Alligator mississippiensis: one gene and its partner. The protein of the gene in region 1 binds, or shares a complex with, the protein of each later gene. Links are inferred from orthologs where the notes say so. Each region holds a gene or a part of one and is shown in the gene's direction. Other genes may lie near its edges.

Region 1 (7,743 bases):
CACAGTATTTGTAGAATATTTGGTTTTACCTTTTGAATTTTTCCTGATGTTGTTTTTATTTATTCCAGAACCTCTTAAATTTGGTTAATACTTGGTCATATGAAAAACAGATCCGATCTCACATAGAGTTGCAAGAATTTAAGCATCCAACACATTACACTTCCTCCACCCCAAAAGGGGGAAAATAATCACAGAGAAACACACACTTAATTTCAGGGCCTACTGACCCTATTCATTGCAGAAAAGGCAGAGAATTTGTTCTTTCTAGGAATACAAAGATACACAAAATCACCACATAAACCTCTGGATTTCTTCACTATTTGGCCATTGGAATGTTTTGTTCAAAAAGAGATGTAAAGTTACTGCATTAACAACAACATATAAAGCAAACTCAAGAAGCTGCCCAGAAAGAGGTGGAAAAGGAATATTTAGCCTATATATTAAAAATGGCAAAATGAAGTAACGAAATTCCAACAGCTTCTGAGGAACTGTGACAGCAGACAAACATACAAAAAATACTAAGTTCCAGAAAATGGATTTTGATTTCAGCGAATCAGTAAAACTCCACCCAGCAAATATGTAGACTGGAACTAATACATATTTCACAAATTCATGTCTTTGAAAGATTTTTCTCCATATATAGAACGTGTAATGCCTGTTATCTGCAAGCAGATACTTATGAACATAGGTAAATTTCCAGACCAGGAATAAAGAAATGGCAATTAGTATACCATAGTGCATTGGGTGCTTTCGTAATGACTGAAGGAAATTTCCAATTTTACAAGGAGTTATTAAGTAAGGAAAGGAAAAAAAGAGGGTAAAGGAGAAAAAGTAGAACAGCTGAGGGAAATGCAAGCAGGCTTCATGATTACTCCTGTCTCCAACAACTATTCCTCCATTGATGACCACAAAAGTAAAAAATGCACTTACTGAAAGGATATATGGCCAAATCAAAACTACAAGTGCAACAAGGTTTTTAAAGGATATGATGTACTTAATAAGGAACTGTAGTATTCTGATTATTTCTGAAAATGATTCTTTCGTAGATGAAAACTTTTCTTCTTTCTTTTTCATCAGTTCAGTCTTCCATGCTTCATTTAGCCTTTCTGCAACAACACTTCCCCCACAGAAAATAGTCCATACAATATTTGTCTGACGAAACATAAAGCCACAAAACCCAAGCAGGGCTGAAGTTTTATGGTTACCATAAAGGCACATCAAATATGAAAAAAGAGTAAAAAATGTTGATCCTGTGTCTGTATAATAAAGGAATGTAAAAAAATAAAGGGTAGGAAATATTGCAAGAGTTAATGTAGATAATATTCTCTGGAAACCAGACACAGCCTAGAGAAGGGAGGGGAAAACAAAATTAGTAGTATTACTTCTATTGAAGAACAAAACACACCAGCAGTCAAACAGTCTATTCTTTAGAGTTTTAGTACCATAAAATAACATTTCTTGTGCTCTTTGATTCCGCTTTTTATTGTAACAGTGCATACCTTGCATTCTGCTATGCTAATACAGAGCACAAAACAATGAAATAGGAGAAGGATCAGAAGATTGCACACTATTGGTGCTGAATTAAAAGTGAACTGCACAAAAAACAAAATGACATTAACATAACATCAATATTTCAGGTCTCTATATAATGACTATTGTGGTTCTGCTGCTGAAAATACTCAAATAATGTAGAGTGGTTCCCTTGGATTCACTGTGTATATCTGAGTGGTCCCACTGAATTCACTATGCATTCACTATACACATACAGGCACACTGTGAACTCAGTAGGACCACTCAAATATCTTAGCATTTTCACAACAGAACCACAAAAGCTGCCACCATCAAGGCTCAGGGGACAGCATTCAATTATTAAAAAACAAAACAAAACAAAACAAAACAAAAAAACCCACATAATTTTCAACTGTTTGGGGAGGATTAAAAAACTCAAAAAACACGTGCTCTACTGGAAGCAGCAGTGCGTTACTTTGACCCGGCTCTGCAGCGTCTGTAGAAATCGGGTGCTTCGGCTGGGTTTTTTGGCACTTTTAGCTAAAGCCAATTCAATCAGCTACTAGATAAAAGCTCCAAAAAAGCCCCACTAAAAGAGCCCGCTCTCTACAGACATTGGGAAAGCTGGGTGCAACTAACACGCTGCCTCTTCAGGCCATGTGCTGCGCTTGGTGCAGGAGCACACTGAGTTTAAAGTGCCATTTTTGGGGGTTTTTCCACATCTGCAAGCAGTCTTAATTCATATCCTCTAATTTCAGCTCCTTCTCACATCCCAGAATGCATCAGTCCACAAAAAAACAGTTACTATAGCCTCCACTGAACCTGAACCATAAAGGGTTAGTTTGGTTTCTGATCTGTGATAGTTTCCTTTAGATATCTTTCCAAAAACATTCTGCTCAGCTACAAGTGAAGGGTTTTATGCAGGCCTGTCCCATGCAATTCAGACTAGATGATGGTCCCTTCACATTATACAATCTATGACTATTAACTTTGTGCACATAAGCAGTCCCCTTAACACAGTGGTTCTCAATCATTTCAGATTCAAGACACACAGTGGAAAATGCCAGCTCTTAGCTTTCCCTCATTTCTTTAACTACAGAAAAATAATAAAGCAATGCTTCTGCTGCAAAGACCTCATAAAGACCATGGCACTAAGAACGTTTTTGATGCTCTAGATTCCTATGTGAAATCTGTGGGTTTGTCTTGTGAACTGTGTGTAGGTATGTGCAAACCTAAGAGTACCATTATTGTGCACCACTGTAGAAGGATATTGCGGTACCCTAATTGAGAATCACTGAATTAATTTCAGTGGGACTATCCATGTGTATAAAGTTAAACACAAATGCCAATCTTTTCAGGAACAAGCTTTAAGGAAAGCAGAAAAATCTGTGTTTAAAGAAAAAGACATAGATCATCACAGCAATGTGAACTGGCAGTATGATTCAAGTATCTGTATCTGGATAAAGCTGATGATAATTCAAACTCCTTGCAACATAAACTAAGGGCCTAGGCTATTTTTAAAGCTGTCTGCATTATTGTACATAACTTCCCTAGCTCAAGTGTAAAGGATTTAGACTGTACCTTGTTTTTCTGATGGATCTTGCTCAAAAGCAAATACAGCAAGTAGAAGTTGCCAACACTGAAAAGGAGGTTAATAAACCTGAGCATTCCTGTCGAGCACACTACGCTTCCAGACCATCCAAAGAGCCATGCTGCAGGCTTCACTATTCCAACAGACACCAGGTATAAGCCAGGTAATGTAGTGATCATAGGGTCCCACTTCAAAATGAAAAAGATACGGGGGTTAAAGGAGTTGGAAAGTATGAAACCACACCAGATATAAACAAGAAAAGCTTAAGAAACCTAAGTCTCTAGCTTCATTGAGATGCATATAGAAAATCATTTGCTCCAAACAAGCTTTATATATCATAAACCACCCTACCTGTACACAAGGAATACGCTCCCACTGTGCAGGTCACACACTTAAATGTGTTGCTCACATGAACATACATACAGGTATGGCACATACAGGTATAAGCCAGTGTTTCCCAACCAGTGTGCTGTGGCACAAAAGTGTGCCATCAGAAATGAACAGGTGTGTCACGAAACTCTGCCGTGGCACTGAGCTACACTAGGTATGAGGATGGGGAATGCCTTAACAGGTGTGACACAGCAAATCTGTATTAATGTAAGTGTGCCCTTGGGCTGATAAAAGGTTGGGAAACACTGATATAAGCACATGTAACATGCACACGTAGTGCGTGCACACATAGCACAAATATGTATAGTACGCATGCACAAATAATTCCCACATATATCGTGTGTGCATATACGGTGCCTATATATATATATTAGTGCACACACAAATATGTAGTGCATGGGGGGGGGTGTAGATAGATATATATAGACAGTGCACACGTGTATGTAGTGCACGGGGGGGTGTCAATAGATAGAGCGCACACACATATATGTAGTTCACAGGGGGTGTAGATGGATATATATATAGTGCACACATGTATATGTAGTACAGATATACATATAGTGCACACGTATATGTAGTTCATGGGGGGAGGTGTAGATAGATAGAGTGCACACACGTATATGTGGTGCACAGGTGTGTGTGTGCCCACATACAGCATGCTCAGAAACTTACCAAATACACATGAGGTGTGCACACACACACACACACCTACCTACACCAAGCATGCACACGTAGTGCCCCCACACAGTACACATATGCACAGCGCACATGCACACACGCCCGCGGTGCCCGCGCTGTACACACGTGGCGCACACGCTCGCGTTGTACCGACGCATCTCCCAGAGCAGTGCGCGGCGCCCGCGTCCCACCCCCGGGGCAGGCGGCGGCGGCGGCGGCGGCGGCAGGGCCGAGGGGCCGGGCCGGGCCGGGCCGGGCGCACCTGGCGGAAGCGGGCGGCGCAGTAGGCCCGGGCCTGGGGGACGTGGAAGGTCTCATCCATGTAGGGCTCGCGCTGCCGGCGGTTGATGGCGGCGAAGAGCAGGCACGAGAGCAGCAGGGCTCCGCTCAGCGCGGCCCACAGGCCGAAGCGCTCGGCCCGCTCCATGGCGGCGGGGCGGGGCGAGGGCGGATCCGCTTCCCCGAGGTGGGCCGGGCCCACGATGGCGGCGCACCGGCAGGAGCTGGAGCTATTCCCCGGGTGCGGCGTGGCCCTGGCCCTCTTCCGACACGTCCGCAACGCGGCGGCGCTCCGGGGCGCGGCCCTGCAGGGCTCGGTGGCGGCCGCGCTGCTCAGCCCGGCCCTGGTGAGCCCCGCCCGCCCGCCGCACTGCCGAGCCCCGGGGCCAGGCCCTGCCCCTTCCCCCCGCCGGGCCGGGCGGCCTCCCTCCCTCCCTCCTGCGCACAGCCGGGACCGTCCAGCCCCTGGGCAGCAGGACGGAGCAGCGCTGCCTGGCATCGATGTGGGTCGGGCTGGCTGTGTGGGCCACTTGGTCTTCGCGCCAGCACGGGGGCCCGCCTGGCCAGAGCAGGCCGTAAACCCTTTGACGTTGATCCATGCTGTGGCCAGCAGTGTCTTGAATGAGTCGCGTTTTTAAAAAACGTCATTTTGAACGGTTTTCATGTCCGTCTCATGTCTGGGCCCTTTGCTCTTATTTCAGTCCGTAAATATTTTCAACGTCCTACCTGACCTTCTGGCTCATTTTATGGGAGAGAAATAGGAGTTCATGAAGGAACCGTGGGGCTCTGCTGCTGGATTAACCTAATTTACATTGTTTGCTATGGAAGCATGTACTCCATCCTTATTTAAGCTGTTTTCTCACTGGGGGCACATCTACACATTCAGTTAATGCAACTGAATATACTTTATCTTGGGCAAAATGCGGCCCGTGGGCTGGATGCGGCCCGCCAGCCCATTCTATCCGGCCTGCGGGACCCCTAAAAAATTTAGAAAATTAATATTTATCTGCCCCGTCTGCCTGCCATGCGGCCCTCAATGGCTTGCCAAAACTCAATAAGCAGCCCTCCGCCCAAAAAAATTACCCGTCCCTGCTCTAGCTCAATTTGAGCTGGAGTAAACTAATCCCAACATCACAGTCTAGACATGTGTTTAAGTGCAGTAATTTACTGCACTGCCAGATGCCACTTGTATCTCGTGGGACTGTCCAGCAGCACAATCAATTAGTCTACTGCATCCTAATTGCCATGCCCCTGTAGATGGTGATGCTTTACTGCGCAACATTTGTCTGCTGCACAATAGAGCGTCTCTTGTAGACATGCCCACTGAGCCATACCAGTGACTTAAGTGGGACAATGTGTTGTCCATTCAGAATAAGGCTTTCAGAATTTAGGGTAGGTAGGAGATCAAGAAGTAATGAAGAAAAAAAAAAAGTGTTTCTACCTAATTCAAAATTGTATTATTTAAATAATCTTTTTCTGCTGTTCTGTTCCACAGATTGTTGATCCATTTCAGATACTTGTGGCAGCAAATAAAGCAGTTCACCTCCACAGGATTGGTAAAATGAAGACCAGAAGTCTTTATGCAGAAATTATTTTCAACCTCTCCCCAAACAACAATGTAAGACTTTGCTAAGCAAATACATCTGTCACCGGGTGCCAAAACCCACAGGGACTAATTACCTTTCTTTCAGGCACCTGGATTCCAAATGAAATTCCGTGGCCAGTGTTGGGTAACTAAGTTCTCCATGAGTTGTGAACCATGCTAGTGGTGCTCAACCTCCAGCTCACAGAGCCATGCCCTCTGGCCTGTGGGGCTTCTGCAGGTTCTGGAAATCTGAGGGAGCAATGTTAATTGCTTCCAGAGCCACCGTAATTAATGCTGTTACTGCTCCCCTACCACCATGCTTCCAAACCCATGAGGAGCCCTGCTGCCCACATGACATAGCCTCATATCCCAGATTGCACCAGTGGATGGTTGCTCTGCAGCTGGATCCAACACATGGATTCAGAGTGGTGTGCAGGGTCACACCACAGCCAAATCATCCCTGCATATGTACCTGGCACACCAACCCCACACTGAGTAGATTCGAGTCATAAACACACTGGATTCGAGTCATAAACTGGGCCCATGAGCAGGATCCAGTCTGCAGGACCAGAGAGATTGAGCACCACTGTTTTATACAATGATTTAGGGGGGTTTAGAAATCTGGCAATGGAATTCAAAAAATCCATATTGAACCTGGATTTCTTACTTTCTACTTAAGTATTCATACTATTGGGCTATTACATAAGAGGTGGACATCTCTTTTTATTGCCATGTTTTTAAATGCAAATGGCAGTGGCTGCTGTGTTGTGTGGTGTCTCTGTGTGTTAGCTAAACAGGTCTACCAGATTGGGCCTGCTGGTGGATTTATGCAAATGAACACCTAGTTTGTAGATCCTAAATCAGTGGTTCTCAATCTTTTTGGACTCAAGGCACCCCTCCATAACTTGTGTGAATTGAGTGGCACTCAGTTTCAAAACTAATATATATTACAGTGCTTACTACTTTGCAGAGGAGGTGGGCAACTGGGGTGGGGGGTCAGCTAGGTAGGGAAACACCTGAGTTTGCGCTTATCTGCTTTCCTCCTCACACCTTGGGCATCCTTCAGAAGGTGCTGCTGCCATGGTCCCTTGGTTGAGAATCACTGTCTTAAATGGACTTAAAGAGTGAGATAAATACTGAGCTGTTGAGCCCTACCAGAATGGCAGCAATTCGGCACAAGGCCAGTCTAGCAGAACTCTTGGTGCTTACAGAGCTTTAATGGTAAAAACTTGGGTGCCTTTGGTCTTTTTACCACCGAAGAGGTTATGTGGGAGCTTTATGGATCTAACTTTTGGAATTTGGTGCTTGAATTCCAGCTGCATCCCACTTAAGACGCCTAAGTACTTTGGTGCACCTGGACCCCAGCACCCCAGTAAGGCAGCTAAAATAGTAAAACTTCTCTGGTTACACTTCAGTGCATGCCTACCTTCCAGTGCTGTGCTGTCTTCTCTGTCGCATCCATGACAATCAGGAATGTTGATTCCCCAGATTTTCTTTTTATGCAGTCAAATTCTATAATCATTTTTCTTTAGAAAAACTAAAAACAGTTCTCTATGAAAACTGTAGAATACTTTTCCAGCCTATATTTATTCGTTTGCTACACTTGTAAGAGCATTAAACTACTGAGACATTTCATCATCAGAGGAAACTACTGTCAGTGTTTGAAAATAACTTGAGGCCTTAATGTTAATAATAAGACTCATAAACTCTA
Region 2 (6,650 bases), on another chromosome or scaffold:
CTGGCTGAGAATCATAAAACCATAGATAAGTAGGGCTGGAAGGGACCTCCAGAGATCATCTACTCCAGTGGTTCTCAACCTTTTTTGTACCAGGATCCATTTGTAAACACTGATGGCCAGTCCTGACCCAGTGCCCCTCACTCTTGACCTGCAGTGTGCAGGGCAGGGGGTGGGTATGTGGGACAGAGGGGGCCCCAAGCATGCCCTTGCAGGCTGGAACCCTGACAGCCTGCAAGGAAAAAGCTACAGCTTCTCATATTTTTTTCTTTAAAGGAGAATCCATTTTTACAGGTTGTTCACAACCCTCCCTTTCATATATTCTAGCGACCCACAGATTGAGAAACGGTGATTTAGCCCAACCCCTGGAATCAATGCACTACAATTTTATCCAAACAAACCTATGAGTTCTGAACCTTCAGTTCTGCCCATACTTCTCAATATTTTACCAGTGTTTTAGATTCAGTGCTGTAGGGTCTACTGAACCGCATGTTCTTCCCATCTTCCAGAATGGAATTCAACACCTCACTCTGCTTACTGGTAACAGTAAAACCATTCTAAGTCATGTTCTTTAGGACCTGTACACAAGCTAACCCAGTTTAGCCAACTTATGTGACTGGTACCCAAAGAATTTAATTAAAACTAGATTTTAAAAGTTATAGCCTGTCTCTAGCAACAGCTGTAAGTCCTGGTTTTGCTGTGCAAATCTTAACTCTATACAATGCAATGAACCCATTTTAAACATAGCTTCTGTAATCAGTTCTCTTTTGAGAGTACATTGGTTTTTGTGACAGAAAAAAACACAACTAAACTCTCCTACTTGGAGAAGCAATACTACCACCAGCTTTTATTATTCTCTACAGAATGAAGAAGATAGCAATGTTTAAACTTACTGGAAGTAATCTGCATTGCAAATTTTTGAATTTGCTGTTTCCACAGTCACAGCAGAAGTTTCTGGAAAAAAAAAAATATAGCAGTTCAGATATTTTTTTAAATGTCTCAAAATGATTTTATTTTTATATTTTTAAGGGCTTCCCACTGCCAGCTGAGAACTAGAACATACTCTCATAAGCTAATTCACAATATCATCTTTTAGAACTGATCAAAGTCCAGCAGCATTACTCCCTCATGCTAACAGCCTGTCAGATTTCAGTATCATTGTCAAGTAGAATCACTATTCAATTGGGATACTCTTCCGGCCCATGTAATTATTGCTGCCGAGAATACTCTTAGGCTTATGGGTAAGCATATGTGTTTGAAAGACAGCGACTGTGAGTTGACTTGAACCTGGAGGGGATCTGGGACAAAAGCACGATAAACCAATGTAACCTAAATCACTTAACTGGTTTATCTTAAACCAGTTCTGGCCATTTTGAATGTGGTTTATGTGCACTGAACTTCTGCTGTTACAGATTTAAACCGGTTTGTGTGTCATTTCTGTCCCTAGACTTACAGGTATACGCCATCTTCAATATTGCATTTTACTGCTTCGTGATGTAAATGGAAGTACCTCAGAAATGGCCCCAATAGTGCTTTACCTTTTTGTATACAATTCAAACAGCTTGTGTGTTCCATGACACTCATAACTGCAGGCTAAGCATATCCCTGCCGGTTCTTCTCCTGGCGGAGTACAAGTACTGCAAGCATATAAAGCTTGTCTCTTTACAGCACCCTACAAAGAAACAACAGATATAAAAAGAGAGAGAGGCACAGAAATAATCTGAAAAAGGTCATTTGCTGTTTGACTGAAGTAGTAAATGCAGTTTGTCATAAGCAAAAAGCAAGTTAATGCTGATGTGCAAGCTAGCACCAGAGGTTCAGAGAGAATCAGTATTTATTTGGCAGTATCTTTTACTAAATTAACCGTAAAGTGGGGAAAGATGTTAGACAAGCTTTTGTGCACAAAGTGCCTGTCTTCAATTCTGGGCAAACAGCAGGTACGTACAGCCTGAAGTAAACACCAGGTAAAACAAGAATCTTTTTCATTTACACAATGGAGTTAAACAACAGCACTTAATAAGTAGAGAGGTAATTAGCATCTGACAAAGTAGACTGCTGCCAATGAAGGCTCATGCCTCTTTAAAAGAGTTGGTCTCTACAGTGCCACCCTGCCCTGCTGATGAGACTTAAAGGAAGGGAAGACAGCAGTAAGCCTGTGGCATTAAAGGAAGCCATCAAAAGCAGCTACAAACCAAGAAAAAGGCAGCTGAAATAAACCTATAAATATATAGATTTGTTTATTTAGATTCACCATTTATTTTCACCACAATAATACCAGGCAAAAGGGGGGAGACTAACGGGGAGCAAATAAATCATAAGCTGTAAAACTACTGTCTGCGTTCAGTCCATAGTTTTAGTGTCCCATAAAACCCTGTGCCTGAAAGCTTACTGAATCTCAATAAAAAATATTGCAAAACAAACCTTGTTTCTCTCATTCTCTGAAGAGAATCCCAGCTCAAACGCTAGAACCTTGCTACAAAACAGAATGACAGCATTCACAGTGCAAATGCACCCCGTTTAACTGCACAGTGTTGGGACTGATAAAAGGGTCCGTATTTACCCCCATCTCAATGTCGATAATTACTCATTAATTACAGGAGCAAGTGAGCTAAACTTTTTGCACCTCAAAAAGGTTTCTTATCTTGTTTCTCAAAACACCTTATAAACAAACAGCCTTAAAATTGGCAGGGCCTAGTAGGCTTGAGCTTGCCTTAGAAGCCTCGAAATGGACAGCTCCCAGCCAGCTTCGATCATGCAGTTAAACCCTGTGCAACTAACTTACAAAGCAGAGGATTCCCATGCACTTAAGCAGCTAATGCTTTTAACGAATACGTGAATAGCTGATGATCGTTTCAATGTAAGTAACAGGTAATAAACTGGGACTGACCCTGCGCTTCACAATTAAGCTAATTATGCACTTACGTGATATGCACACCCATACAGGATGCTTGAAAACTTTATGAATAATATCTCATAGTCCCAAGGGCTGACCTCCAAGGCACTCTTCAAAAACACTGCTTACTAAAGCCTCCCTGGCAGGTCGACCCTTTTTTGCAGGCAGGCCTCAAAATAGCTCAGCCACTTCCTCAAGTGCCACTTTAATCCTCTTCCCCTGCCCAATTTTTCTGATCCCAGCCCCAGCCCCAACCCCTGCATGGCCTTCTGCTCCCTGCCCTGCCTGCCACGGCGCTGCCCGTCCCCTCCCTGATCTGTCACGGGGGCTGCTAGGGCCTGTGCTGCAGGCTGGCCACCCCAATCTACCAGCTGCACCTCTTCCCTTGCCTCGGCCTAGCTTCACACTGCCCCAGCTCACAACCTCTCTCTCTGCTCTTTAAAGATGTGAGGTGGGGCTGTGGCATGTCAAGTTCTGCCACAAGCTACACGACACCCACTGACCAGCCTGGCGGTCACCTCTCCCTCTTCAGGGAGGAGGAAAAGCAGGGGAAGACCAGGGCCGTGGGCCCCACACGCCCCTGTCCCTGCCTCCTGCACCCCGGTTCTCTCCACCTGGCCACCACACCCAGGGGATGGCTCCCCAGCCGTCAGCCCTCCACAGGGACCCCAGGGGCCAACAATCCTGCCTGTGAGCCCTGGCCGGGCGCGTGTGAGCAGGGGGGGGGGGGGCAGAGCTCAACATCGGGGCACTGGGGGGGGACTCCCCTCCAACCCTCTCCCTACCCCGCCCCCCAGCACAGGCCCCTTCCCCGGGCACAGGCCCCGCCCCGTTACTATCCACCTGCCCCCGCTCCGCCCCCTCACCTGCGAGTAGCTGCAGCGCTCGTGGTCGCTCCCGCCCAGCACCGCGCGCGCCTCCTTCTCCAGCTCCTCGTTCTCCGCCAGCACCTCGGCCAGGGACACCACGGGCTCGTCCGGGGCACCCGCGCAGCCGCTGCCACCGCCGGAATCCGCGCCCCCCGCCGCTGCCGCCGCCTCCTCCATCGTTGGACCCGAGCGCGCAAGGCGGGAAACGCCGAACCACCGCCAGGGGGCGCCGCGGCGGAAACGGAACCGCGCACCCGTCACGTGACGCAGCCGGTGGCGGGGACTCGGAATGTGACCCAGGCGGGACGGGAGGGGAGGACACTCTGGGCAACCAGTCACAGAAGGAGAGGGGGCGGGGCTGGCCAATGGGACGCCAGGGGGAGGGGCGCGGCATGTGACGCGAGGGGGTAGGCCAGCCTCCGCCACGTGACCGAGGAGGGGTGGTGCGCGGGGCTTGGCTGCCGGAGGACGAGCAGTTTGACGGCCGTTGGACCTAGGCGTGGGCCTGCCAGTGATGACGCCTTCCGGGGGAGCGCAGTTCGGGCGCTGATTGGCTACGGGCGGTGCCGCTCCAGGCCGGTCCGCGAGGGGGAGGGGGTATGGAGCTGCGCGCGGAGCTGACGGGGCGCGACGGACTGAGGCAGCCGCTGCGGGTGCGCTGCGAGCCCGAGCCCGGCGTCGGGGCGGGCGGGGAGCTCCGCGCGCTACGCCGGGGCCTGGCCCAGCTGCAGGAGCAAGTCGCGGCGCTGCTCGGGCCCCTGGTGCAGCAGGAGAGCGGCGCCGGCCCCCGCGGGGGCGCCCAGGGTGAGCGGGGGGGGCGCGGCTCGCGCGTTCGGGGCACGGGGGCTGAGGAACAGCGCAGTGTCTGCTCGCGGCCCTGGCGCTCGGTGCGTGCGGGAGCGCCTGGTTCACCGCGTCCTAAATGTAACGTGTGCCGGAACCCGGAGCGGAGCGGGTCCCTGCTGGGCAGGTGGTGGAAGGGCCAGAGCCCAGGCAGCTTGTCCAGGGAGCGTAGGGGGGCTCCCACCACTGTACCCACACCAGCTGAGGCCCCAGGTGGCACATGCTTCCTGCATCTGCGCGCAGCGGAGGCAGCTGTCGTTGTGGGCTGGGCTTTGAGGGAGTGGGCAGGGGAAGGCCCTGAACAGCCAGGGCACAGGATGGAGCAGTAAGTGGCTTGTCTGGGGGTGGGGGGACACAGCCTAGGAGGGAATGGGAGGCATATGCAGGGGACAAGCAGGAGCTGGGGGGACAAGCAGAGGCCCGGAGGGCACATGCCCTGGCCCAGCCAGGGCCCTACTTCCCCCAACCCCTGCTCCTGTCTGTGCCCTGGTCCCTCCCTCGCTGCGGGGGGCCTTGATCTGCCCCTTCCCCCACAGACTTACCTGATGAAGAGCCACAGCCCCAAATCATTTTTTCTCTCTCTGCCTCAATCTGTTCCTCCCCTTCCTTCCCCATAGATTGACCTGTGGGGGGAGAGGGTGGCACATGGTAGATCTTGAGTTGTTTTTTAGTTCAAAAAGTGATCTCCTACTTAAAAAGGTTGGAAACCACTGTTAGAGGATGGTTTCAGGTTGGATGGAAGGAAGAACTTGTTTACGGTAAGGGTCACCAGAATCTGGAGTAGACTTCCCAAGAAGGTGGTGCAGTCCCCAACCTTGGAAGTCTTCAAGAGGAGATGGGACAGACACCTTGCTGGGATCATTTGATCTCAGCAGTACTCCTGCCCAGAATAGGGGGTTGGACTTGGTAATCTTTTGAGGTCCCTTGCAGCCCTTTATTTCTATGAGAAAAACCCAGAGGTTGCTAATAGGACTCCATGGTGCTAGAAACCTGACCTGCTGTGGTCTTTTTGAGTACTTTGTAATAGGATAATTTGCTCTAGTGTTTTTCTGTAGTCTAGTGCAAACTAAGACCTGCCAGTTTCCGAGGGGTGCCTTGGGTCTAAAAAGATTTGAGAACAGCTGATTTAGAGACTCTCCGTCTTCAGAGCCCTCTGGTTCCCTCACCTCAAAACATGGATTTGCAAACACTTCTTCTGTTACTAACCTATGTATTGTAACCTTTTACAAGGTGATGTTGGGGAAGAGGAAGAGGATGAAGATGAGGACCAGGAAGAAAACAATGTTGACAAAACACATTCAGATGAGCCACCCTTAAAACGGACAAAAATTCAGCACTCCTGACTGTTGCCTTAAAGACTCCTTAGCATTTTAGAAAAAGACCCAACAGTTCTATCAAATGTATGTTTAACTGGACAGTCTTACTTCCGGGGAAAAAATGGAATATTTTTGGAAGCCAGGTATCCGCATTTCTGTTCTAAAATACAACCAAGCTGAAGAGAAATACCATTTTGTTTTTCTAGTATTTAATTTTAATAAATAATCTGACAAAAGAAATAAGGGTGGCTTGTTTTGGGTTTTTTAAATATTTTTAGGTAGATGAAAATTATTATTTTAATGTTGGAGAGAAGAGAACATGGAACGTAAATGTCAAGAGGAGCTTCTGGCAAAGACATTGTACACAAACAGTTGTATGTTTTGGATACTCCCTGAGCATAAAACAGTCTAGAGCTGTTAAAGGAACTACTCCCAAGCTCTGTATTTATTTGTATCACTTTTAAAATTGACAAACTTGGAAGAAAAAAAAGACAGTTTATGTACTTGAAATGGTAGAAACAATAAGCTAACAATTACCTGTGAAGAAGTTGTTAGAGATGTATATAAAATAATTTGAGGATTCTAGACTGGCTTAAATACATAAGCAAGGAAATAATTTAAAAAAAATTGCTTTAAAAAAGCCTACAAGACAGGAAGTCACTGGTGTTCAGGTATGAGGTATGTTTGTGTTTGGCAGTTGATTTGACAAGATACACGGACGTCTTCGATCAG

The links. The genes of interacting proteins can lie anywhere in the genome.
Region 2: TPRKB (region 1) and GON7 share a complex: the UniProt entries of both Homo sapiens proteins name them as parts of the EKC/KEOPS complex. The link is inferred for Alligator mississippiensis from reciprocal best matches to the Homo sapiens genes TPRKB and GON7.

Annotation. Positions count from the first base shown.
Region 1 is NC_081827.1:30,117,664-30,125,406, forward strand, and holds the start of TPRKB (EKC/KEOPS complex subunit TPRKB), read left to right. Parts: upstream 1-4,650; coding exon 4,651-4,794; intron 4,795-5,942; coding exon 5,943-6,065; intron 6,066-7,743. Other genes in the region: ALG10 (dol-P-Glc:Glc(2)Man(9)GlcNAc(2)-PP-Dol alpha-1,2-glucosyltransferase), read right to left, coding at 289-1,344, 3,091-3,288, 4,431-4,595. UniProt on the Homo sapiens protein: Component of the EKC/KEOPS complex that is required for the formation of a threonylcarbamoyl group on adenosine at position 37 (t(6)A37) in tRNAs that read codons beginning with adenine.
Region 2 is NC_081825.1:276,407,785-276,414,434, reverse strand, and holds GON7 (EKC/KEOPS complex subunit GON7), read left to right. Parts: upstream 1-4,186; 5' UTR 4,187-4,358; coding exon 4,359-4,563; intron 4,564-5,832; coding exon 5,833-5,945; 3' UTR 5,946-5,968; downstream 5,969-6,650. Other genes in the region: putative E3 ubiquitin-protein ligase UBR7, read right to left, coding at 891-951, 1,536-1,669, 3,757-3,936. UniProt on the Homo sapiens protein: Component of the EKC/KEOPS complex that is required for the formation of a threonylcarbamoyl group on adenosine at position 37 (t(6)A37) in tRNAs that read codons beginning with adenine.